Drosophila melanogaster: one gene and its partners. The protein of the gene in region 3 purifies or fractionates together with the protein of the main gene of each other region. This does not show direct contact. Each region holds a gene or a part of one and is shown on either strand. Other genes may lie near its edges.

The links.
Region 1: the proteins of cort (region 3) and Cdc27 purify together in Drosophila melanogaster (affinity purification with western blotting; 2 studies listed by BioGRID, with this or other methods). This does not show direct contact.
Region 2: the proteins of cort (region 3) and shtd purify together in Drosophila melanogaster (affinity purification with mass spectrometry, with the first as the bait; one study listed by BioGRID). This does not show direct contact.

The regions. Positions count from the first base shown.
Region 1 is NT_037436.4:7,244,554-7,252,056, forward strand, and holds Cdc27 (cell division cycle 27), read right to left. Parts: upstream 4,788-7,503; 5' UTR 4,129-4,787; coding exon 4,105-4,128; intron 4,027-4,104; coding exon 3,951-4,026; intron 3,882-3,950; coding exon 1,279-3,881; 3' UTR 928-1,278; downstream 1-927. Other genes in the region: mei-P22 (meiotic P22), read left to right, coding at 1-830; MED4 (mediator complex subunit 4), read right to left, coding at 5,057-5,596, 5,655-5,891; CG14830 (uncharacterized protein), read right to left, coding at 6,546-7,065, 7,127-7,503.
Region 2 is NC_004354.4:15,455,727-15,464,435, reverse strand, and holds the start of shtd (shattered), read left to right. Parts: upstream 1-1,994; 5' UTR 1,995-2,100; coding exon 2,101-3,148; intron 3,149-3,208; coding exon 3,209-3,332; intron 3,333-3,390; coding exon 3,391-3,552; intron 3,553-3,610; coding exon 3,611-4,829; intron 4,830-4,888; coding exon 4,889-6,933; intron 6,934-6,992; coding exon 6,993-7,427; intron 7,428-7,491; coding exon 7,492-8,074; intron 8,075-8,133; coding exon 8,134-8,610; 3' UTR 8,611-8,709. Other genes in the region: CG6294 (uncharacterized protein), read right to left, coding at 28-1,608.
Region 3 is NT_033779.5:6,673,586-6,679,202, forward strand, and holds cort (cortex), read right to left. Parts: upstream 3,051-5,617; 5' UTR 2,966-3,050; coding exon 2,846-2,965; intron 2,787-2,845; coding exon 2,655-2,786; intron 2,590-2,654; coding exon 2,175-2,589; intron 2,117-2,174; coding exon 1,745-2,116; intron 1,687-1,744; coding exon 1,537-1,686; intron 1,478-1,536; coding exon 1,215-1,477; 3' UTR 1,097-1,214; downstream 1-1,096. Other genes in the region: cup, read left to right, coding at 716-729; CG34310 (uncharacterized protein), read left to right, coding at 474-643, 721-940; Nse1 (Non-SMC element 1), read right to left, coding at 3,256-3,963; Nhe3 (Na[+]/H[+] hydrogen exchanger 3), read right to left, coding at 5,609-5,617.

The DNA of each region.
Region 1 (7,503 bases), on a different chromosome or scaffold from region 3:
CTGAAGATGATTACAGTGAACTATTGTTGCAGCAAGGGAAAGTGGTTCACCTGAAGCCTGCAGCTAAGTTGGTGCCCGTGAGATCCTCGGATAATCTAGTCCATCTTGGATCCCGGGATAAAGTTGTCCCCTTGAAAACTTCCAATAGAATCGTTCACCTGAAGCCTCCATATAAGATTATCCACCTCAAAAGTTTAGATGAAGTTGAAAAGACCGTAAAGAAGAAGAATAATATTCAGAAAGAAGTTCATCAAAGGAATTCACAAAGGAGAAGCATTCAATGCACTCCCAAAAAACGTGGTCGAAAACCAAAGCAACCGGCTAAGAAACTGCAGTCAAGAATTTCCACCGATCAGCTAGGAAGCACACCATCGCCATCCAAGCTGCCTGCCAAATATCCCGCCCATTTTGTTCATCAACTTCCGCCCGCTGAGGATTCCAGCTGTGCCACTCGAAGACGATCCTTATCTGCTCCAGCTATGCAACTTAGCGATCTAAGCCTCACACCCGATGAGATCCAAACTCCGGAGCGGCGCGGTGAAATCGTAAACAAATCGCCATCGGATCTCGACTCCGATGTCTCCTTGAACTTCTCGCTGTCCGATTCCATTGGCGAGATCTTCGGCACCAAGGACATCAGCAGCATTCTGACCATGCAGCGGCCGCGTCAGTACATTTTGCTGGAGGAGCATCTGCCCACACTGGCCACCATGTTGAACGTTGACTTGGAGCGACTGCGCTGCGTGCTGGATATCACTCAGGGCTTGAGCCACGAGCAAATCCTGCGCTTTCCGATAAAACATGAAGAGGATGAATTGGAAGTACCTTAGATATGATGGGGAACTTATAGCAGTAGTATAATGTTTTCACTTTGAATAGTTTTAATGTCCAAGTCCAACATATTTAATTCCCATAAGATCCTTGTTGCTTTAACTTAACATTTAAAATGTATATCTCCCTTTTTTTTTGTATATTTTTAAGTGGTATTTAATTGTTGTTGTTTTTTGTTGTTGTTGTTTCTTTTTCGTTATTTTGCCTTAGACTTTCAGAGTGCACAATTTTTGTTTAAACCATTTACTTTTTTGTATATTTTAAATTACTAATGCTAAACGTTATCTAGACTTTATCATACTTCATAATTGGTTTCCTTTCCTCCACGACAATACAGCAGCAATCGATCGGGGTTTTTTTTTGTATCTGTTACTAAGTTTTCTTTTTTGTTTACTGTGTTTCTCATTTAACGTATATACAACCGCGTGAATTTGGAGTTGCAGCTCCCTAGTAGTCGCTGTCGTAGCTTCCGTCCTGCTGCGCCTGCGTCGAGTCATCGGAACGCTCCGAAGTGGGCTCCAGATCAACGTCCAGGGCCGTAGTGTTGGCCGGACAGCAGCTGGGATGAGCCATTGAGTCGAAGGCATCTTTGATTTGATTGTTGGCACCTTTGGGATCTAGGTCGGTGGCCCAGCTGAAGTGCATCAGCGCCAGATCCATGTTGCCGAGCGTCTTGTGGATTTTGCCGATCAGATAGAACACCACCGACTCCTTGGGCACGACTTCCTTGAGCTCCTCCAGTTCGCGCAGCGCCTCCTGGTACTTGCCCAGCGAGAAGTAGATGGAGCCGCGATGGAATCGCGTCAGCGGGTTCTTGGGGTCCAGCGTGGCGGCCGTGTTTAGCGTCTGCAGCGACAGATCCTTCTTCTTCATGTAGAATTGCATGGCGCCGATGTGCACGAGAATAACCGAGTTCTGTGGATTGATTTTCAGCGCCTTCACGTAGTGAATCTCAGCCAGCTCGTATTTCTCCTGCTTGGAGTAGATGGTGCCGATGCCGTACCAAGCATTGTAATGCCGCGGATCTCTAACCACTGCTGCACGGAAGTAGTCCATGGCCTTATCAAATTCTTCGGTGAGTACGAGTTCGTGGCCCAACAGTGTGTAGCTGTAGACGAAGTCTGGATCCACTTGGACAGCCCGCTTGAAGAACTTGATCGCGGTTTCGTGCTCCTTTTGCAGCGAAAAGCAATTGCCGGACACACACCAGGTAACCGGGCTGGTTTTGTCCTGGTTAATCAGATCCTGGGCGAGAGCTGACAGCTCAACCTCGCGCTGCAAATGCCACAGGGATGACGAGTATATCTCCATGTAGTCCAAGCGACATGGCTCTGTCTTGTGGATGGTCTCAAATATCGCCACCGCCGCCTCATACTCACGCATCTCGTACCTGGCCAGTCCGATGAGCGACTGCACCCAGCTGGAGTTCAGGTGGTGCTTTGGTATCGTCGTCTCCAGCTGCTTTATGGCCGCCTTGCACTGGAAGTTCGAGAGCAGCTGATAGGCTTCAGCTAAACCCCGCAGCAGGGCCATCAGCCCATCGGCCGATTGTTTCTTGAGTCCCATCAGCTGGTGGGCCATCGTCTGGGCATTGTTTAGGCTATTGTTCAGCAGTACTTTGGCCTCCTCGGCGGCACTGCGTCCACCGCTGTTGTTATTCGCTCCCGAGGAAGTAATAGTCTCCACCTTCTCCTTGCGCTTCTCGGAGAGGTGGTGGGACTTATCCTCGATCAGTTCGTTATTTAGGCAGATCTTGGTCATCCGTGACTTGGCTTTGCGGGGCGGCGAACGTGGCTGCACGAACTTGTTGGCTATGTTGGGCGATTTATTGTTCTCCTTCACCGAATACGAGTTGCTGAACAGCCGCGAACTGCGACGCACTGCAGCATTCGGATTGGGCGGCACATTCATATTGCCATTGTTGCCCACATTATTGTTGTTCGGAGTGCGGGGCGTTATGTTTCCGGCTTGCGTAAAGACGGCGGGTTTATTAAGGCTGCCCTCTTTGCGATTGATGAGTCCGCCCACATGTGTCTTTAGCTTTTTGCCCATCATCTTCGGCTCCTGGTTGACCTCGACCAACATCTGTGGCATCGGCGAATAGCTTATATTCATAACGGGCGTGTGGTTGCCAATGAAGGATCCATCGTTGCCGGTGCACGGACTAGTTAAAGGCATGATGCCGAAGCTCGGTGTTGGCGGTGAGATGGCCGATAGGTATTTGAACTGTTTGCGAAACGGAGTACCGCTGCTCATGTCGTAGAGCTGCTGGTTCTGCTGATACTGGCCGGCCGGGTCCTGCGGAGCTCCCATAGGTGTGTCCTCCAGCATCGCCAGCATGCTGGAGTTTTGTACCAAACCCCCGCGCAGCATGCTGATCGAACTATTGAGATTGTTGTTATTATTATTATTGTTGATGGGCGTCACCATGTTGCTGTTGTGGTGCTGGTTCTGATTCTGGTTGATCTGTTGTTGCTGCTGATCCACGGGCGTGGTCAGAATGTAGTTGGAGACATTGCTTAGGTTGGTGATCAGCGACTGGCGCTCCTGATGCTGTTGACCCTGCTGCTCGGCTCCGAACAGCACCATTGCATTGGCATTTACGCTGCTGCCCTGGCAGGTATTGAACACATCTGTGCTGTGGATTTGGAATATGGCCGCCGCATCTGTATCCTGGCCCAGCAGGCACAGATCCGCGAATGCGTGCCACATGAAGGGGTTCAGTTTGAGGGCGCGCCTTAAAGCACTAACGGCCAGTTTATTGCGCTCGGTCCTCATGCAGATCTGGGCCATTAGCTGATAGGCGAAGCAGGCCAGATCCCCGAAGTCCCGCTGCAGCTCATCGCAGTTCTTGGCGTCCGCGAATCCCGTGGAGATCAGGGCACTCTCCGCCTCAGCGTATTTTTTCAGCTCGTAGGCACATTTGGCCTGCAGAAAGCGGCACTGCGGCGAGCGGCGTGCCTTCTCCTTGAGCAGCCAATATGCCTGGTGCACCTGATTGGAGCGGAAGTAGCTGGTGGCCAGCAGGAATATCGTCTCGTCGCTCTCCACTGCAAGGACACGGTGAAAGAGAAAATCAGTGATATACCCGGTCAGACAAACGAGACCTTGACCTATACCTTCTGAGCACAGGCGTTCCGACAGGAAAACGGCATCCTTGAAGTCGTAGTAGTTCAGGCAATGCCATATGGCGGCCTTTGGGAGCGAAAAAAAAGAAGGGAGAAAATTTGGTTTTTTATAGAGGCCAGGTGGACCGAGGAGCTATTGATTTACCTGCACGGGCTCTTGAATCATCATGTCTGGGCGGTATGTGCGACTTTCTAGGGGCGCTCTATGAGATGTACGTTCACTGTACTTCAGGGCTTTACAATAATTCAAACATGCAGTGTGTAGAACTCAAACAAACTATCATGTCGCCCCCCACTCGTACACTCTTCTGTTTGTATTTGTATTCGAATTGTTTTCTTTTGGCCAAATTTTTTCCAACAATATCGAATGGGAAAAAGTAAAAGTTTGGCCTGTGTGCTGGCTGGCTGTGTGGTATGTGAGTGTCGTATGTAACCCGATTGCGGATGCGGCGATGCAAGTGGCGATGGCGGTGTCTCTCGCTCCCTGGCCTCCACTCCACTCCACCTTCCACTTCCACTTTTTCTTTATATTTGATATTGCAATTGGTTTGAGTCGAGCCTTCGCTTCGCTTCGCCCTCTGTACACACACACTGCGAACGGGGGGTCGGTTTTCTACTATCGTTTTCGGGGCTTATCTCTCGTTAAAGACGCACACGGGGCTGATCTGCGATTGGCGGCGACACTGGACTACACCTTGGCCACATTTTAGCTACTTGAAACACGCTGCATACGCGTTGCATTCCATTTTATTTGAAAAACCAAAGCTAAAATAATTGCGAGCTGTCAAAGTATCGATTGCACGCGACCCTGCCAATCGATTGTTTATATGGTTGAGGAGGACCGTATCGCACTAGCGCAAAAGTACCAAGCTCTTGACACGAAGCTATTATAAGCTGTTTCCACTGATACATAACTTTGCATTTTTTTAAATGCCAATTTAAATTGTAAATTAATATCATTAAAGAAGGTCATAAAATTAGATATGTATCCCAGCTACTCAAATATATACATAACTAGACTTCCTTACAGCGCGCTTTTATTAAATACCTAATACTACTAGCTTAAACGAGATTTAGTTATAGTTTTTTATCCAATTCTACTGCGAATCGCTGGAACTGGAGCTTGAGCTATCCGTGGACATGACCTCCACATCGTCCTGGGCGCGCGTCTCCAGGGCCACTGTGTTCCCAGAGGCGCCCATGGTCATGTGCAGCTCTCCGAGATTCCAGTTAAACTGGTTCTGGAAGGCATTGGGCACCTCGCCGCCGGCGCCACTGCCACTCCCACTTCCTGCGCTACCGGACAGCGTTCGCTGCTGCTCCGAGGGCATGCCGCTGTTCTGGTGGGTCACTGTTCCGCCGTTGATGTTCTGCTCGGATTTACCCAGCAGCCCGTTGCGCATCTCAATGTCCGTGGGATAGGGACGCCGCAGGTCACCTATGCACCAGGTGAGCGGAGCACTGACCGCATTGGCGGAGCTAATCCGATGTGCGTATTTGATGAGCTCCTCGGATGAAACCGGTCGTTTGTTGGCCTGATTGATGCTGGCCAGTTTCTGTCGCGCTTGGAAGATGGCCGTGGACAGTATGAGCTCCGCATCCTTTAGCGACTTTTGCAGCTTCTGGATCTCACGGTCCTAAGCGGGAAAATCCAGATTATACCTTATTTTTGGGGAATGCAAAACTTCTACTTACGTGCACCTCGACCTTAGCGCGCAGTTGGTCCATCGCCTCCTCCACTTTCGCCTGCTCCTCCGCCAGTTCCAGCATTTTGCGAAATTCCTCATCTTTGGCCACCAGCAAATCCAACAGGTCCACCAATTCGGTGCTGGAGATCTTCTGGTGCGCCTGCTCGATCAACTCCTTGGCAATCATCTCAATGTCGTCGATCAGGAGCAGAAGGCGCTCTTTTGTGCTCAAATGAAACGACATTATCACGGCAAATCGTTTGTGCTAAGCAATAATTGCAATTTGTTTATTTTCCACACCGCAATGTGGCCGTTCTTCGATTGCTGAAATATACCGTATAGTATTCCGGAGCGCTGTTAATACCACGTTGTAAAAATACCGTAACAGAGAGGTTGCCAGACTAATAGGAGTTGCCACATGGGTTATTTCATACACTCAAAAAAAAGGGAATCAAGTACTCAAAAGCAAAGAGTAGAAGAGACTGTTCAAAAATAAAACAAATTCGCAGCGTTATCTCTAGTAGGTATTATTTGCTTGTTTATTTCTCGTGTGTTACAATTGCAGTTACAATTTTAGCATAAAACTCTTCTGTTGATTAGCCAAATCAAACCTAACAAACCTTCTCAAATATGGCAGATTACAATACTCTGTTGCATCCTCGCGTTCGCGTCTCCCGTCAGTTTCACTCTTAAAACATACAAACCAGCAAGCAACTTGCAGCAGGTACGTTGGAGGGGCCTTGTTAATAACCGTTTAGAACTAGTAGATAGTCTTACAATTAGTTAAGATATAAGTGGTTTATATGTGGCTATTCATATTTCTTCTCCGCCCAAAGGATCCCCTTTCATCAAACCGCATATGTATGTACATACATACATATGTACATATGCATAACAATCAGTATCGCTGGCTCTCGCGATCCGAGTATTTGCCACTCAGCTTGCTAACCGAATAGCGATCCGAGTAGGCATCGTACTTGTCCGCCTTGTAGTTGATCTCCTGCGGCGTGTATCCGATATTCTTCTGCCAGTGCCGCGTCCAGTAGAGATCCTCGTTGCGCACCTGCGATGGCGTCTTCGCATCCCGGAACACGTACACACAGTAGATCATGCAGCCGATTAGCGTGAGGAAGCCGAAGACCAGGAACACAATTCCCAGTATCCACACGTACAGTGGCTCATAGAACTGCACCACAATGACGAATCCTAGCGTCACCAGGATCAGGCCCAAGTTGAGCAACAGCATCAGACAGCACACGCCCTTGACATTGGGGCAAAATGGATTCGGCGCGGACATGGTTTCCACTTTGGCGCCTCGCCGAGTCGTCGAGCGCGCACTGCGTCCGGTTTTGGCCGTACTGGCCACGGAGTAAACACTCCGTGGAGCTCCTCGCGACACTGGACGCTGACTGTAGCGACTGTAATGGATGATAGATAGTTTAGATATGGGTTATATGCTATATAGTTGTAACAACGCACCTGATCTCGGAGGGCGCCTTGTAGGCGGCACTGGTCACATAGATGTCGCTGCCGGCGTCACCAGCCTGGTCATAGCTCAGGGCGGACGGAGCACGCGGTGGCTGGCGCGTGGGCGGCGGTCCGCTGAGGGAGCGAGGTCCTCCGTTGTCCGGCGAACTGGAGAGGCCCATCTGACTGTGGCTGTAGCTGCTCTGCAGGTGCTGATGCTGATGGTTTCCATTCGAGGATGAGGAGCGCTTCTTGCGCGAACCATTGTACTGCGGCGAGATGCGCTCGTGGGTCAACGTGTACTCCGAATAGGTGCGCTCCGAGGGCGCCCGGTGGGAGTGGGTCTCATCGCCGTCGGTGGAATAGCCGCGGTTCGAGTGGACGTAGGG
Region 2 (8,709 bases), on a different chromosome or scaffold from region 3:
GGCCACTCACCTCGCGCTGCGGCAATCCTAGGAGGAATCGCAGGATAGCCGCTTGGTGTCGCCACTGGTGGTCAGCACGAAAACGTAGTGGGTGCACTGCTCCGCGAGGAGATGCCACAGCGAAGCGGGCAGCTGGAAGCGGTGCACATACGGCTCCTCGAACTCCTCGTAGTGGGCCACCAGGCTGTTCTGGTTGCAGCGCAGCTCGATCAGTCGGATGGGCCTGCTGGAGCGAATCTCACGCGTGTCGCGGTTCAATTGTATGCTGGCCGCCTCAAAGTCGACGGCAGCCGTCTGCTCCAGCTCCAAATTCAGCCAGCGATGATGGGCCAGGATTACGGCACAGTTGCGTGCAAAATAGAAGCTATCGTGGCGTCGCTGGTTGTGGTAGTTGTCCAGCAGTTGGCTGCTTGGCTGCAATTTCAGTTTGGTGAGGCGGGCGCGGTTGCCCGTTGCGGCGCCACTGCCGGCGGACGAGGAGGAGGAGGAGGTGGAGCTGGATGAGGATGATCCGCCCTCGGATGAATTAGTATTGGCAAGTGAGCCCCTGCGGGCGTCCACAATTCGCTGCGGCAAATGCTCCGTGGGCTGGTCCACGGTCAACACGCGATTCAAGTAGTCGAAGCCCTGGCCCATCACACCCTCGCTGGTGTGGCCCAGATCGAAGCAGTGGCCCAGTTCGTGGCACACGGCGCCCAAGGTGCTGGCATAGACGCCGCCGTACGTCCGCCGATAGTTGCTCTCGTCCGGCAGGCGGGCGATGTCCACCCGCTGGGCGCTGCGCACACAGTCGCCGATCTCCGCGAAGCTCGTGGGCCACGCGTAGAAGTGGGCACTACCAAAGAGCGCCAAGCCGCCGCCACCGAGTGCTGCGTGTCCCTTGAGATGCCGCCGGATGTTGGCGTACGAGGAGTCACCGCTGGCCACCACTGCGTCGCCGTCGTAGCGCGTGCAGCCCACAAAGGCGACGAACTTGAGGAGCAACTGGTGGCCCCACTGCGGACAGGCGATAATCTCGCCGGCGAAATGCTGCCACAGCTCGTCCTCGCTCTTCGCCAGCGCCTGTTTCCGGGTCAACTGGCTGCGGAAGGCGCAGCACTTGCCGTTGAGCGTGAAGGTGCGGTTGGGAAAGCCCGCCGCGTGCAGTTTGTGCGCGTAGATGGACTGCACCAGCCGCAAATTAAGATCGATGAGGGAGTGCACCTCGTGCTGCTGCGCCAGCGTCTTCTCCTCGTCCTGACAGAGCAGGTAGAGCGGCTGCACCCGGTAGGAGCTGCGGCGGGGCCGGTAACTGAAGCTAATCGTTCGGGTGGCCGTGCAGGATCGCAACTCCAGGAGGCAGGCGCTCTCCTCCTCCTCCTCCTCGCGATTCGCTTGTTCCAAGTCGAATAGGAGCTTAAACTCGCCGCCGGCCGACAGCTGGGTGAGCTGCTCCTGGGACAGGTGCTCGGGCAGATCGAGGATCGCCTTCAGTTGACGCGCCGTGGAACACTTGGGCACCAGGCGTCCCTTGACCAACAGCAGGCTGTGCTCCAGGCGCTCCGACGTCAGCGGCTGCTCAACCTCGATGCTGTGCGCGCGCTTGCAGCCGGCGGTGCCGCTGCTCATTGCCAAATTCTGGCCAGGATTTCCGGTTCCGTTTGTCTGCTCAAATCAAAATCCAGACTCCGAAATCCAATTGGAAAAGCCGAACAAACGCACTGTGCTGCCAGACCGGGAAAATAACCGGTACGCCAGCGGACCAAAGCTGGTTGCTACAAGTGACCAACCGGCATTGTAATCGATAGTAAAAGCAATCGAACTGTTATATTTTATATTTTTAAAAATAGGCAAAGCCATTTCTCTAGCATTTCTTTCGGTATGACTTTATGGCATATACTGGTAATTGTTTTGTTTGTCGCGATTCTGGTCTTCCTATCGTTATCGGCCTTTTGATAGCTCTCCTCATATCGAAGTACTGCAGGCCCGATAGAATCAGGCACTTATCGCCACCCGATTTCGATGACAGTTTTTAAATAATTGTGCAAATTCCTTGCTAATAATAAATTGTAATCAATTAACTTGTCAATCGCAATTCTGGATGCACCTGGCGACGCGGACATGATCGCCGTCGCAGAACCGCCGCTGGAGTTTGTGCCGCGCGGCCGTCAGACGTCCGCGGAGCATCCGGGCCCACATGACCAGCCAATGGCGCGCCACCAACTGCCCACCACGGAGCATCTGCTGCTGCAGCGCCTCCAGAATGTGAACATCTCGTCGGCCGGTGAGGACTGCCCTTCGGGCGGACAGGAGTCGTGGACAGTCCGAGAGCTGTACGATGACTACGAGGCATCCGAGGAGCGCGCCGCCCTGCGACGCAAGTTGACCGAGCGGACAAAGCGATGTGGTCTCCAGGCCACCTCGCTGCCGAACAGACTGCTCAATCCACCGCTGGTGCGGCGCGTGGAGCCAATGTGCGACTATATGGTTAACAACGAGGAGGAGCTCTATGTGAACCGGAACACGGTGGTGTGGACACAAGGCGTCAACGATGACGACGATACCGACAATGGGGTGTACCGGCGCATGTGTTTCACCACCGATACGCCGGTGCGCTTCGCCTGCTTCCTGAATCGCAGTTTTGTGCGCGGGCGACTGGCGCAGCTGAAGGCGGCTGTCCACCCGGATGACGACCATTTGACCGCCATCTGTGTGATGGATCAGGACGCCCTGCGGGTGTACTGCAGCAACGGCGAGGACTTTCTAGCCAATCTGGACTTTCCCGTGTCACAGCTGTGGCAAACCAAGTATGGCCTGCTGCTGGAAAAGGACTCCAGCAATGCCTTGATATCGCACATGTCCATTCCGATGCCGCGTCTCTTCTCTATGTCGCATCCGCTGCACGAGGCCTGTCCCGTCGTCCTGAAGACGGCCACCGGCTCCACCGGCTACATGACCGAACCGGAATACACTGTGGTCTTCACCACCGAGGAATCGGATTTGGTGATGCTGTACGATGCCAAGTTCTTTAAGCATTTCGTTGCACGCCTGCGTAAGGTAACGCCCGAAGAGATCAACTATGTGAGTCAGCAGATGGAGCTGGGACAGACGCTAATGGGACCCAGGTCGATGGCAGGCAATAGTTTCAGTTCCACCAAGCAAACTGGAGGTGAGTTGATAGCAATGCCAGCAAGGGCATACGATTTATTCACTGTCTATCCATTGCTAGCCACGCCAAAAGCAACGAACTTATCGTTTGCGGCCAGGAATATCAACACCACCACCACCGGCATGGGCAACCAGTTCGGACTCAGCCAGTCGCAGTCGTTCAGCGGAGTTCTTGGACAGTCGAAGTACGTTTAAGTCGCTGTCATCCATCACTTACTTATTATTGCCTCTTCTTCCGTTTAGTCGCGCCTCCCTAGGCACTCCATTGAGCCAACTGCAGAGCAGTATTAGCCAGCAGTCCATGTCCGTGAAGGATATGCGCAAGTTAACGCACGTGAAGCCGGCAAAACCCATTGAGCCGGAATTGTGTATGGAGCACATCTGGACGGAGAACATCTACGGAACGTCAGTAAATGCCACCAAAGATGCCACTTTCAGTACTAAAATTGTCTGTCTTCCTTAGTCAACGAGAGTTCTGCGAGATGGCCACCCGAGCATTTATCCACACGGATTTAGTGGGTCAGACCTTTTTGTGCTACCTGCTGGCCCGCTCGTGCCGCCTTCAGTTGGTCCGCCTCACTGGCTATGGAAGGGGCGAGGTGCAGCTCTCCACGCACGCCTCCACGCTGGCCGCGAAAGATGCAGTGGGTCTGAAGAGAATGCACATGATTGCCGTTCTCGATCCGAGTGGCAGCTTACTTCTATACACAGGCACCGTGCTCATATCCAAGGTGCACATTACGCCGTTTTTGGCGCCTACCTCCATTCCCACACCGCTGGTAACGCCCATGACTGCTGCCCCATCTCCGTCGGCTTCGCCCGCTCCGTCTCACGTTAAAACACCAATGGCAGCTGCTGGACCAGCAAGCGGCATTCCGTCCGGCAGCAGTTCTTTCGTGGAGGTGCGAAGGAGCAGCCTACTGCCCACAAAAGCGCCGGGGGATGTGGCTGCCTTCGAAGAGGAGCTGCACATGCTGTCGCCCATCCAACCGCAGCCGGTGTCCTACACACAGCGGCAGGCGCACAATGTCTGCAAATCCCTGAGAGATCCGGCGGGAAATCGATTGACTTTGGTTTATGCCACGGGCAGAATGCTCAGAATAGCGCTGCCATTTCTAAATGATACACGATTGCTCACCAGATGTGTGGCTACGCTACGGCAGGTTCTAAGTCCGACCCAGTTCCTGGACTTTGTTATCCGTTGGTATAGCGACAGGAATCCGCCGGGATCGAGGAATTACTCCATAGAGCAGGAATGGCTGCTATTCCGCTCCACACTGCTCGCCCTAATGGGTCTGACTGCTGCACCGGATGTGGATGCGGGCGAGAACTACGCTAGATGTGCCACGCCACCGCTGCACACTCAATTTGGAGGCGGCGCTACTGCGACGGAATCGAGTGACGGTTCTAGTTGCAGTTCCAATTCTACACTGGGTGGCCAGGATGAGCCGAAGAAACGGCGAATATACAATGATTGCGATGATTTCACGGACGACGACTGGGAGTTCCTGCTGCTCCAGACGACACTGGCTCCCTGCGGAGCCGATGGCCACAGCTACAGCGTGAACATCGGTGCGCTGCTCTTCCGAATGATTCCCGCCATCTTCTTCAGCCTGCATTTACTGTACGAGGATCTCAAACTGGACGCTGACTTTTATGGAGCGCTTCCATATCTGGCAACGGTAGGTGAATCATTTAATAGATCCATTAGTGGTTTTCTAACACCATCTCCTCGTTCCAGTTCCTACACCAGCTGGCCATCGATATGCAGCTGGAAAGTTATGTGCTGCACTACATACTAGACTTTCCGGAACTCTCGAATCGTACGGGCAAGCTCTCGTTGCTGGGAGCTGAGCACGGAGCTATGATGCTGCACCAGGAGCTTCTGAGGGTTCCGGCACCCAGTGTGTTTGCCCAACTCGAGCACATTATTGTCGGCGAGGAGGAGGTGATGCCTTACACCTTCTTGGAGTGCGTTAACGAGAGAAGTCGCATTTTACTGCAGCTCGTATCGCTGGTGACTCATGGGCATGAGCGTCTGAATTACTGGTGGCAGCTGCTTGAGATCCCCGGCGCCGTTCAGGCCAACTTTACGCGGCGCTCTAAGCGTAATATCACGGCGGATGCTCCGCGTAGCCATCAGATGTTACAGCTACTTCTGGCCATGCGCTTGACACGGCGAGACATTGAAAGATTCCCGGCGGCAGTGCATCTGATTGTAGCGGAGGCACTGGAGGAGGCTCGCCTCTCGCCGCCCATGGGCTGCAGCATGGCCACCTATGAACTTATCCTGCGTCCAGAATTGGCGGCCCACGCTCAACTGCCGTTCCTCGAAACGAGCACTGGGCAACCGCATTGTGGCCGGGTCTACAAGGAAGATTCACTGTCAGCGAGGTGTCCGCCGACCGGGGGATCAGAAACTGATTCACCGGCCCAATTGCGCCGCGACGACATGGACAACATGGACACAAAACTACTGCGTCTGCGTTTTCCCGATGACATGCGGGTGGATGAAGTGCGCCGTCTGCTTAACAGCTCGGAACCGGTGGTCATTGAAGTGCAACAGGCACCGGGAACCAGCGATCACGAATTCATTGAGGAGCAGGAGAAGCAACTGTTTGCACTATGTTCGCGCACAATGACACTGCCCGTGGGCAGAGGTATGTTCACCCTGAGAACGATGTTGCCGCGGCCCAGCGAAAGCTTGACCATGCCCAAATTGTGCCTGTTGGGCAAGGAGCCGCTGAAGGGCACCACCATCGAAATGCAGCAGATCGAATTCCCAGCGAATATGCAAATGTGGCCATCGTTTCACAATGGCGTGGCCACTGGCCTGAAGATCTCACCCCAGGCTCAGGACATAGACTCCAATTGGATTGTCTACAACAAGCCCAAAACGCATTCGCATAATGCCCTGGAGCACGCTGGTTTCCTCATGGCCCTGGGCTTGAATGGTCACCTAAAGACGCTGTCCTTCATGAGTGTCTATAAGTATTTGGTTAAATGCGATGAGATGACCAACGTTGGTCTGCTGCTGGGCATTTCCGCTGCCCATCGCGGCACCATGGATACGAAAACCACAAAGTTGTTGAGCGTTCACTTGGAGGCACTGCTGCCAGCCACCGCCATGGAGTTGGATATACCGCAAAGCACACAGGTGGCTGCTATAATGGGCGTCGGTTTGCTCTATCAAGGATCAGCTAAGCGCCACATAGCCGAGGTGCTGCTCCAGGAGATTGGCCGTCCTCCAGGCCCTGAGATGGAGAACAGCATTGAGCGCGAATCGTATGCCATGACAGCAGGTCTATCCCTCGGATTGGTTACCCTCGGTCAGGGTGAATCGCCGGCGGGCCTAAGGGACCTCCAACTGCCGGATACCCTGCACTACTACATGGTCGGTGGAGTGAAGAGACCCATCGGCGGTTCCCAGAAGGAGAAATACCGACTAGCCTCGTTCCAAGTTCGTGAAGGCGATACCGTCAACATAGATGTCACTGCTCCGGGTGCAACGCTCGCATTGGGACTTATGTTCTTCAACTCGGGGAACGCAGCTATTGCCGAATGGATGCAGCCGCCGGATTCGCGGTATCTACTGGACATGGTGCGGCCTGACTTCCTTCTGCTGCGCACAATTTCCCGGGGCCTCATCCTATGGCAGGATGTCCGGCCGGACAACGCGTGGTTCCAGGCACAGTTTCCGCGAGCACTCCGAGCTCACCTAAAACTCCCGTTCTACGAAAATGAGTATGCACCCGAGGACTATGACGTGGACTACGAGGCCATCTCGTGAGTAACTGAAGTTGAATGTCAAAGTAATTAGATACGAATTATATACTCTTGTCCAGGCAAGCCTATTGCAATATCATGGCTGGAGCTGCCTTCTGCATTGGTCTCAAGTACGCCGGCACTGAGAATCTGGTGGCCTTTGCCACGCTGCGGTCGGTGATAAAGGATTTCCTTCGCTTCCCCAGCAGGCCGATGGGCGAATGTGCCGGTCGCACCACTGTGGAGAGCTGCCTGATGGTGCTGCTCATCTCGATCTCGTTGGTGTTCGCCGGCTCCGGCAACTGCGAAATTCTTCGCATAATTCGGTTTCTCAGGTCGCGAGTGGGACCACAATATCCGCACATAACCTACGGCTCTCACATGGCCATACACATGTCGCTTGGCCTGCTATTCCTCGGCGCGGGTCGCTTCACCATTTCCCAGACACCGGAGTCGATTGCTGCACTGGTCTGCGCCTTCTTCCCCAAGTTTCCCATACACAGCAACGACAATCGGTAAGGATTAATATATTTGCAGCAATGTGTTAGCACACTTCACCGCATGGATTTACATTTTAAGATACCATCTGCAAGCGCTGAGACATCTCTATGTACTGGCTGTGGAACCGCGCCTGTTCCTTCCCCGGGACATTGACACCAATAAGCTGTGCCTGGCCAACATATCCGTGTTGGAGGTGGGTGCCACCGAGCTGCGCCGCCTGCCCATCGCTCCCTGCATCCTGCCAGTGCTGAGCACCCTGCAGCAGGTGGTGGTGGACGACGAGAACTATTGGCCAGTGTGCTTCGAGCGATCGCGCAACTGGGATCAGCTGGAAAAGGCGCTGGAGATGAGTGCACCGATTGATATTAAGAAGCGAACGGGCTGCCTTTCCCACTTGGAGGACCCGGACAGGCTGAAGAGCATGCTGGCCCAAACATTGACGATGGAACAGAGCATCTGTTGGCAGATCGATATGAACGACCTGCAGCAGTTTGCCAGCGAACGTATGGTGAAGCAGTTCCTCAGTCGCTGCCTGGACACCAAAGGCACGGATTTGAGTCCCCCGGAGCTGATGAAGCGGCACCAGGTGATGCTGCTATTCTACAATGCCGTGGTCAAGGATCGCATGCATTTCCTGCCGGTTTACCTAACCCTATACGATGTAAGTGCATCCATTCACTTGCATAATTTGACCGCGAATGTAACGTTCTTTGTTTTTAGCACGTAACCAAGTCCATGCCGAACAACATCGATGTGTGGCAGATGAAGCTCATCGATGCCTATTTGAGTCGCAGCCAGGAGTCCGAGCATCCGCTCATCTCCGTGGAGCTTATCCAAATGATGCAAGAGCTCTTCAAGCAGGAAATGGAGGACTCGACGCGCGAGTTGTGCTTACCGCTGCGCGAGTTCCTCAGCCGAAGGCGTCTGGATCCCAGCTATGTGACCACAGTCAGTGGACCGGACTTGCAGCGAGCCTTCTGCGTGATCAATTACTACAATCTGTTGCCGAATATGTTGAATGGAGTGGACTTGAGCACGGGCACAGTTAACTATATGCGTCTTTTATACGAATTCCGCCGGCTGAATCTCGGCGCGCACACCATATTTGGCCTAATGAAGATCCTACAGTCACTGGCCACCGAAGTGGTGACTCTGGATGAGGCAGCCCTTCTGGCGTACACCATGGGTGACCAGTGATGATCGATGGAAATTCTTTTTTGCTAGACCCATATTACTGTACATTCATTTCTAAATAATATTATTGCACATTATTTCAAAATTTCGCCGCCACTTATA
Region 3 (5,617 bases):
CTGTATTGACAGGATTAACCAAAAAACCTATACAAATATTTAAGGATCATTCATCATTATGAATGTTATTTTGTTATTTTGTACAAATTAGTTGCGAACAATATCCGCCTTTATTAGGCTTTCCCCACTTCAGCTATTTGTGAATTATTGCATAGTCATCAAAGAGGAAAGTTTGCAAATGTTATTATTCTTAAACTACGTCACAGTTTCTTTCACGCCCGCTGCAAATACTCAAGCCAGTTTATGAATAGCTATTAATAGAAATTTGAATTTCAAATAAGCTTAAGTTGTGTCGGGGATAGTCTGGCCACGCTGACAACTATTATAGAACTCAGTGTTGGTAAGTGTCGGCTAAACAAAACAGCTGATCTGAAATAAATTCTCATGGTGCGTTGATGTAACAGCAGCCGGCGAAAGAAACTTGTGCATTTAATGAGAAATAAATATAAATAGCCAAAGTAACCGCACGTGCCATGCAAATTCGTCGTCCGCGTGGTGTCACTGTTCCGCAATTGATGGTGGTCACGGCCATTGGGCTGCTAGGCGGTATTTACATTTGGCAACCGCTGATTTTGAAGTACAAAAACGAGAAGAAAACCGAGGCAGAAACGCCAGCAGTAACTGAAACTAGTGGAACCACAAAGTTAGCCCGCACACTAAACCCTAATCTGCTGGCTAAAGTCATATATTAATTGAATTCCGTTCTCGCCCACAGATGAGTTTCATTAACGGCTTCAAAAGATTCGCCACAACGACGGTTGGTCTGATGGCCATCGGTATTGGATCGACTGTTATATTCTACACCACCCATCGCCTTGTCATCAAACCCTATCTTCTCGAGAAACGACGCCTGGAAGCCGAGGCCAGTGCGGAGTACCTCTTCCAGCAGGAGGTTCACTCCCAGATTGGCGAGTCAAGACCCAAACGGAGCGAATATTGAGCCAAGGCTGCCAGTGCCGTCATAGACATCTTTACATACTTATAGCCTAGTGATTAGTTACCAAATTTCAACGCTGTAACATGGTGAACAATGAATGGACTTTTACTTTCTTACCTTCACTTTGGGTGGAGAGGCCCATCTTCTTGTGTTCATTTTAGAGTTAAACAGAATGGATTTTTTATGAAAGTAATATGAATTGAATAAATAATGAAAAGCACAAATGGTTTGAATAAAAGACTAGAAACATAAACAATTAAAAATCACTGTGCTCTGTTCACCGTATGCCTTTGTACAGGCTCAGGGAGCTGCACTTGTCCTTGGCCTTTTGCTCTTGCTTTCTCAATATCGCCTCGCGCTTATAGGTGGGAAAGAAGTTCCACAGCGAAAAGGTGTCGTCCAGTCCGCCGGTGGCAATTTTCGTTCCATCCGGATTCCACATCAGGAAGAGGGTGCCGCGATCCTGATGGGACATCAAGTCAACCACGCGGTTTAAGGAGGCCAAGACCAGAATTTCGCACACTGCAAGGTCCGCATCATCTGTAGATATTAGAATACATTATTTTTAGCAAGCATTAAGGATCCAGTGCAGTTCTCACCACGCCGAATAACGTTGACCAGCAACTCGCCCGTGATTTTGCTGTATGTTAGTGTCTTTATAACGATTCTGTCATCCCTGCGCCTGTACGAAGCCACAAATTGTCGGCGCGGGATGTTGAATATGAAGATCGACGCAGGGCTTCGCTCCGCTGTTAAGATAATATTCATGTTGCAGATACTCTAATAATTAATCTGCCACTATCTTACCAACGGCTAAATCCTCTCCAGTCCACGGATGCCAGTCAAAGACTATGGACCTGCCGTCCAACTTGAGCAGGCGAACCTTTAGCACCGCATCGAAGATGAAAATCTTGCCATCCGTATCACTGGATGCGAAATACTTATGGGTGGGAGCAAACTTCATTTTCTTCACCGTGTGTCGATGCTCGCGCAACTGCATCAGGGTGTTTAGCGTGGGCATGGCCAGCACGATGATGACGCCGCACTGAGTGCCGCAGATGACCTCTTTGCCGTCGTGGGACCACTCAATGCAACTTATGTAGCCCATGGACTTGAAGAACAGCTTGCGGTAGGAGACCAAGAACTCCGTAGGCGACCTCACCTCCCAGAGGTCCAGAACTTGTACGAAAGAGGAGGGTTAGGGCTTTACAAAGTTATTGCTTAGGGTCTGTTATACCTGGATAGTTTCTATCCATGCAGCCGATTGCCAGGTGCTTGCCATCCGGCGAGTACTTGAGGGAAGTGGGCGACTCGACGCTGAAGACCATGGTGCTCTCGTCCAGATTGCGCCACAGCATGACATCCTGTCCGGAGGACATGGCCACCATGCCGCCGGACGACCAGTCCATCATGTTGTAGTCGACGGGACTGCATATGCCAGGCATCTCATGGGTGGCATTCTGAATGGCATATGGTCGCGCCCGTGGATTACATGGCCAGTCCGAATCGGCGGAGTCGTTATCGACCACCCTGGATCTTGTGCCCTGCTGGCTGCTAAACTGAAACAGGCGGCGCTCTCCGATGCCAAAGGTTCGGTTGATGTTCGATATGAAGCCGCTCTGTCGCCAGTAGCTGGCGGTCAAAGTGACACCCTGATTGTAAAAGTCATTTTCAATTAATAATGGAAAGTATATATAGCCAGAAGTACTGCACACACCGTTTCGAGGATATCTCGCTCCTTCCGCTTGCCAATGTACTTCAGGTTGAACTCGATGTTCTCCCGCTCAAATCGGTTGGGTATGAATCTTTCGCCGACATAGGACACCTCCTGCCCCTTGCTCGTATCACTCTGCGCGAAAAGAAAACTACGTTTAGGTGGTCAAATTGTTTTGAGGCCCATCATCTTACCTTGTAGGCCGCCTCCTGTTTCCAGTTTTTCCGCCGCACCTTTTTGAAGGGCGTCAGAGACTTTTTGTCCAGCTTGGAATTTTTATTGGGACTGTCACACACACTCATCTCGACGAACATTGAAACATTTCTGTTTTGCTAGCGCCATATTAAATTGGCAACGGATCAAAAAAAACTTACAGTTACAAGTACAGTGAACACTCGATAGGAGTGCATTTGGTCTTCTTTAATGTTTGCCATTTAAAGTGTGGAGTTTATACTTCTCGATGCTTTACATGAAGATGTTTTAAAATTCAAGTTAAGATGTTGCTTTAAATTATTTATTTTCTACCTTGAAATCATTTAGTTAATAAAGCGGACTACTGTTATTCTAGTATCAAAATCTATAGTACATGTCGCGGACATAATGATTAACCAATGGAGCGTCTTATTGGAGTTGTCCATAGGTTGCCGCAGGAGGGGCAAATATCGCGTCTCTGCAAGTAGGTTTGGATGCACCCGCGGTGGTACTGGATGTTGCAGGACCCGCAGCGAATGTCCCACAACACCAGGCACTTGCACAGCGTGCAGTTTTTTATGTTATCGGCGTGGTTCGAGCTCAAATAGAAACTGAGCTCGACGAGGCTACGTGGACCTAGGTAGATTCTGTCGGTCACCTCCATGAAGTAGCCCATTTGGATCCACTTCTGGAGCAGCTCCTGCATGCGGCTCTTCTTCAACGGCTTCGAGCTGGCCTGTAGGACGATATCATTGTAGGCGTCATTCCAGGCGATGTGGCAGTCCTCCTCGGAGGCGATCTTGTCCAGCAGTTTCGAAAAGTACTGACACTCCTCGGCAGTGAGCCCGGTGTTGGCCACGCTGTCCGGCGTAGCGTCCGTCTTGGCGTAAACCAGGTACTCCTCGGCCTTGACCGGATACTTGATGAAGACCAGCAACTGGCCCAAGTCGCTGATGGTGTCATTAATCTCCGCCACCAGTGCCCTAATCGCCTCCTTGCTGCCGGGCTTTGTAGTCTTGTGGTTGGCACATAGCGGGGCCAGGATATCATCGATCAGCTCGAAGCTGAGGTAGCTGTGGTTCTTGCACGCACGCAGGAACCCGCGTTTCACCAACTCCATTGCCAATGACTGAATATGTTTCAAAACAAATCCAAATATACACAATTCGATTCCGAAGCGCGCCGTTGCAGTGTGCCCAGCTATGCTGACGGGCGGTCAACTTCGGTCACACTATTTTTAAAAATCAATCGATGTTTTTTCAGATCTCCGATTTTAAAATCACTCGCACTATTTTTTGGCTTAATGAAGTTTAAATTTATCATACTTTCGGTGCCCCTAAAAAGAAATGCCCATCTATAATTCCTTTCTTTCTGCTTTGTTTCCATTAAAAAATTTAGCAATTATTAATTTTTTATTTATTTATTTTGGTTTTGACTTAAAAATTAACAGCACAACAATTAATATTTTCAGAGAGCTTCGCTTTGTTTTAAATACAGCGTATATATAGTAAGAAATAGGAGGGTCCTAGGTAATATCGGAAAATGTTATAGATCAGCAAGTGAATCAGCTTTGAAACTTAAAAACTAAACCGAATACAATTAGTCCGTTTTCGAAACGATATATTTACACTAACTGGCTTAGAACGAAAAAGCTATAAGTTTATGTTGTGTAAAATACATCAAAAATGAAATAGTATATGTTTGCCTGCGCCTGTGCCTTATAACTTTTTCCCGTAAAATCCTAAGAGCCGGATTCTCGTCGACACCGGACTTTGGACATGCTCCAGAATCTCCATCTGAATATAATATGGTTTGTGGTTTTCGGGCGATTACAATATACATGTTAGCACATTTTTCGATGTCGAATAGATAAGAAGAAGGAAATATGTCCATAAGTATGCGATTAAACTTTTGCTAGGCCATTCAATTTGGCTTGTGTATATATATATATATTTATGTATTTAGGAAAAACTAGGTAAATTGCAGAGGCAAGTTCTAAAAATAATAGAATCAAAGAGGCTATATATGCATGTAATTTATCGTGTTATAAGGTATGGTACTAGTGTACGTTAGCTCGATGATAGAAATCATTTTTATAGCTTCTGTGCCCTTACTGATCTTAAATAGTTGCACAACAACTTTCAGATTTGTGTTTATTACTAGAGTTCCGAATCACATTTCCATAAACAAGGATAAACTGAAAAGTAATATTCTAATTTGTACAGTTTTCACATTTTCGATTTCAGTTGAGACCAATTCAATAAATAACAAAAGAAAACTAAGAACTTATTGAACTTATATGTAAGCATTTCGATGATCGCCTCCAACCTAAAAGCAAACAAAATCATTAACAAAAAATTGAAAACACTGGGACTTTGAAAATTAATATGAAGTAATGGTGAATTTTCGACTTGAGATGCGCTTTTATGTACAATAGGCGTTAGGAAAATGAGGAAATCAACTGCAATTTAATTTGTACTTACATGGTTAGTCGCGTGTTAGAATCTAAGAAATAAGATTATGAGGAAAAATACAGAAATTAAAAGTGAACAATATAAACAAACATTCCTGACTGCTGTGCTCTAAGAAGCTTTGGTTAATCAGATTTCAATTTCACTGGCTCGTGGCTAAGTTAATCATGTCTGGGTCTCCGTCTGTGCTTCGTTACAATGGGTTTACCAAGGAAAAGTAGACAGAATCGAACAAAATATTATAAATAACAAAAATAAATCAAATACAAAAATAGATAGGGTCCACTCTTTGGATTACATGAA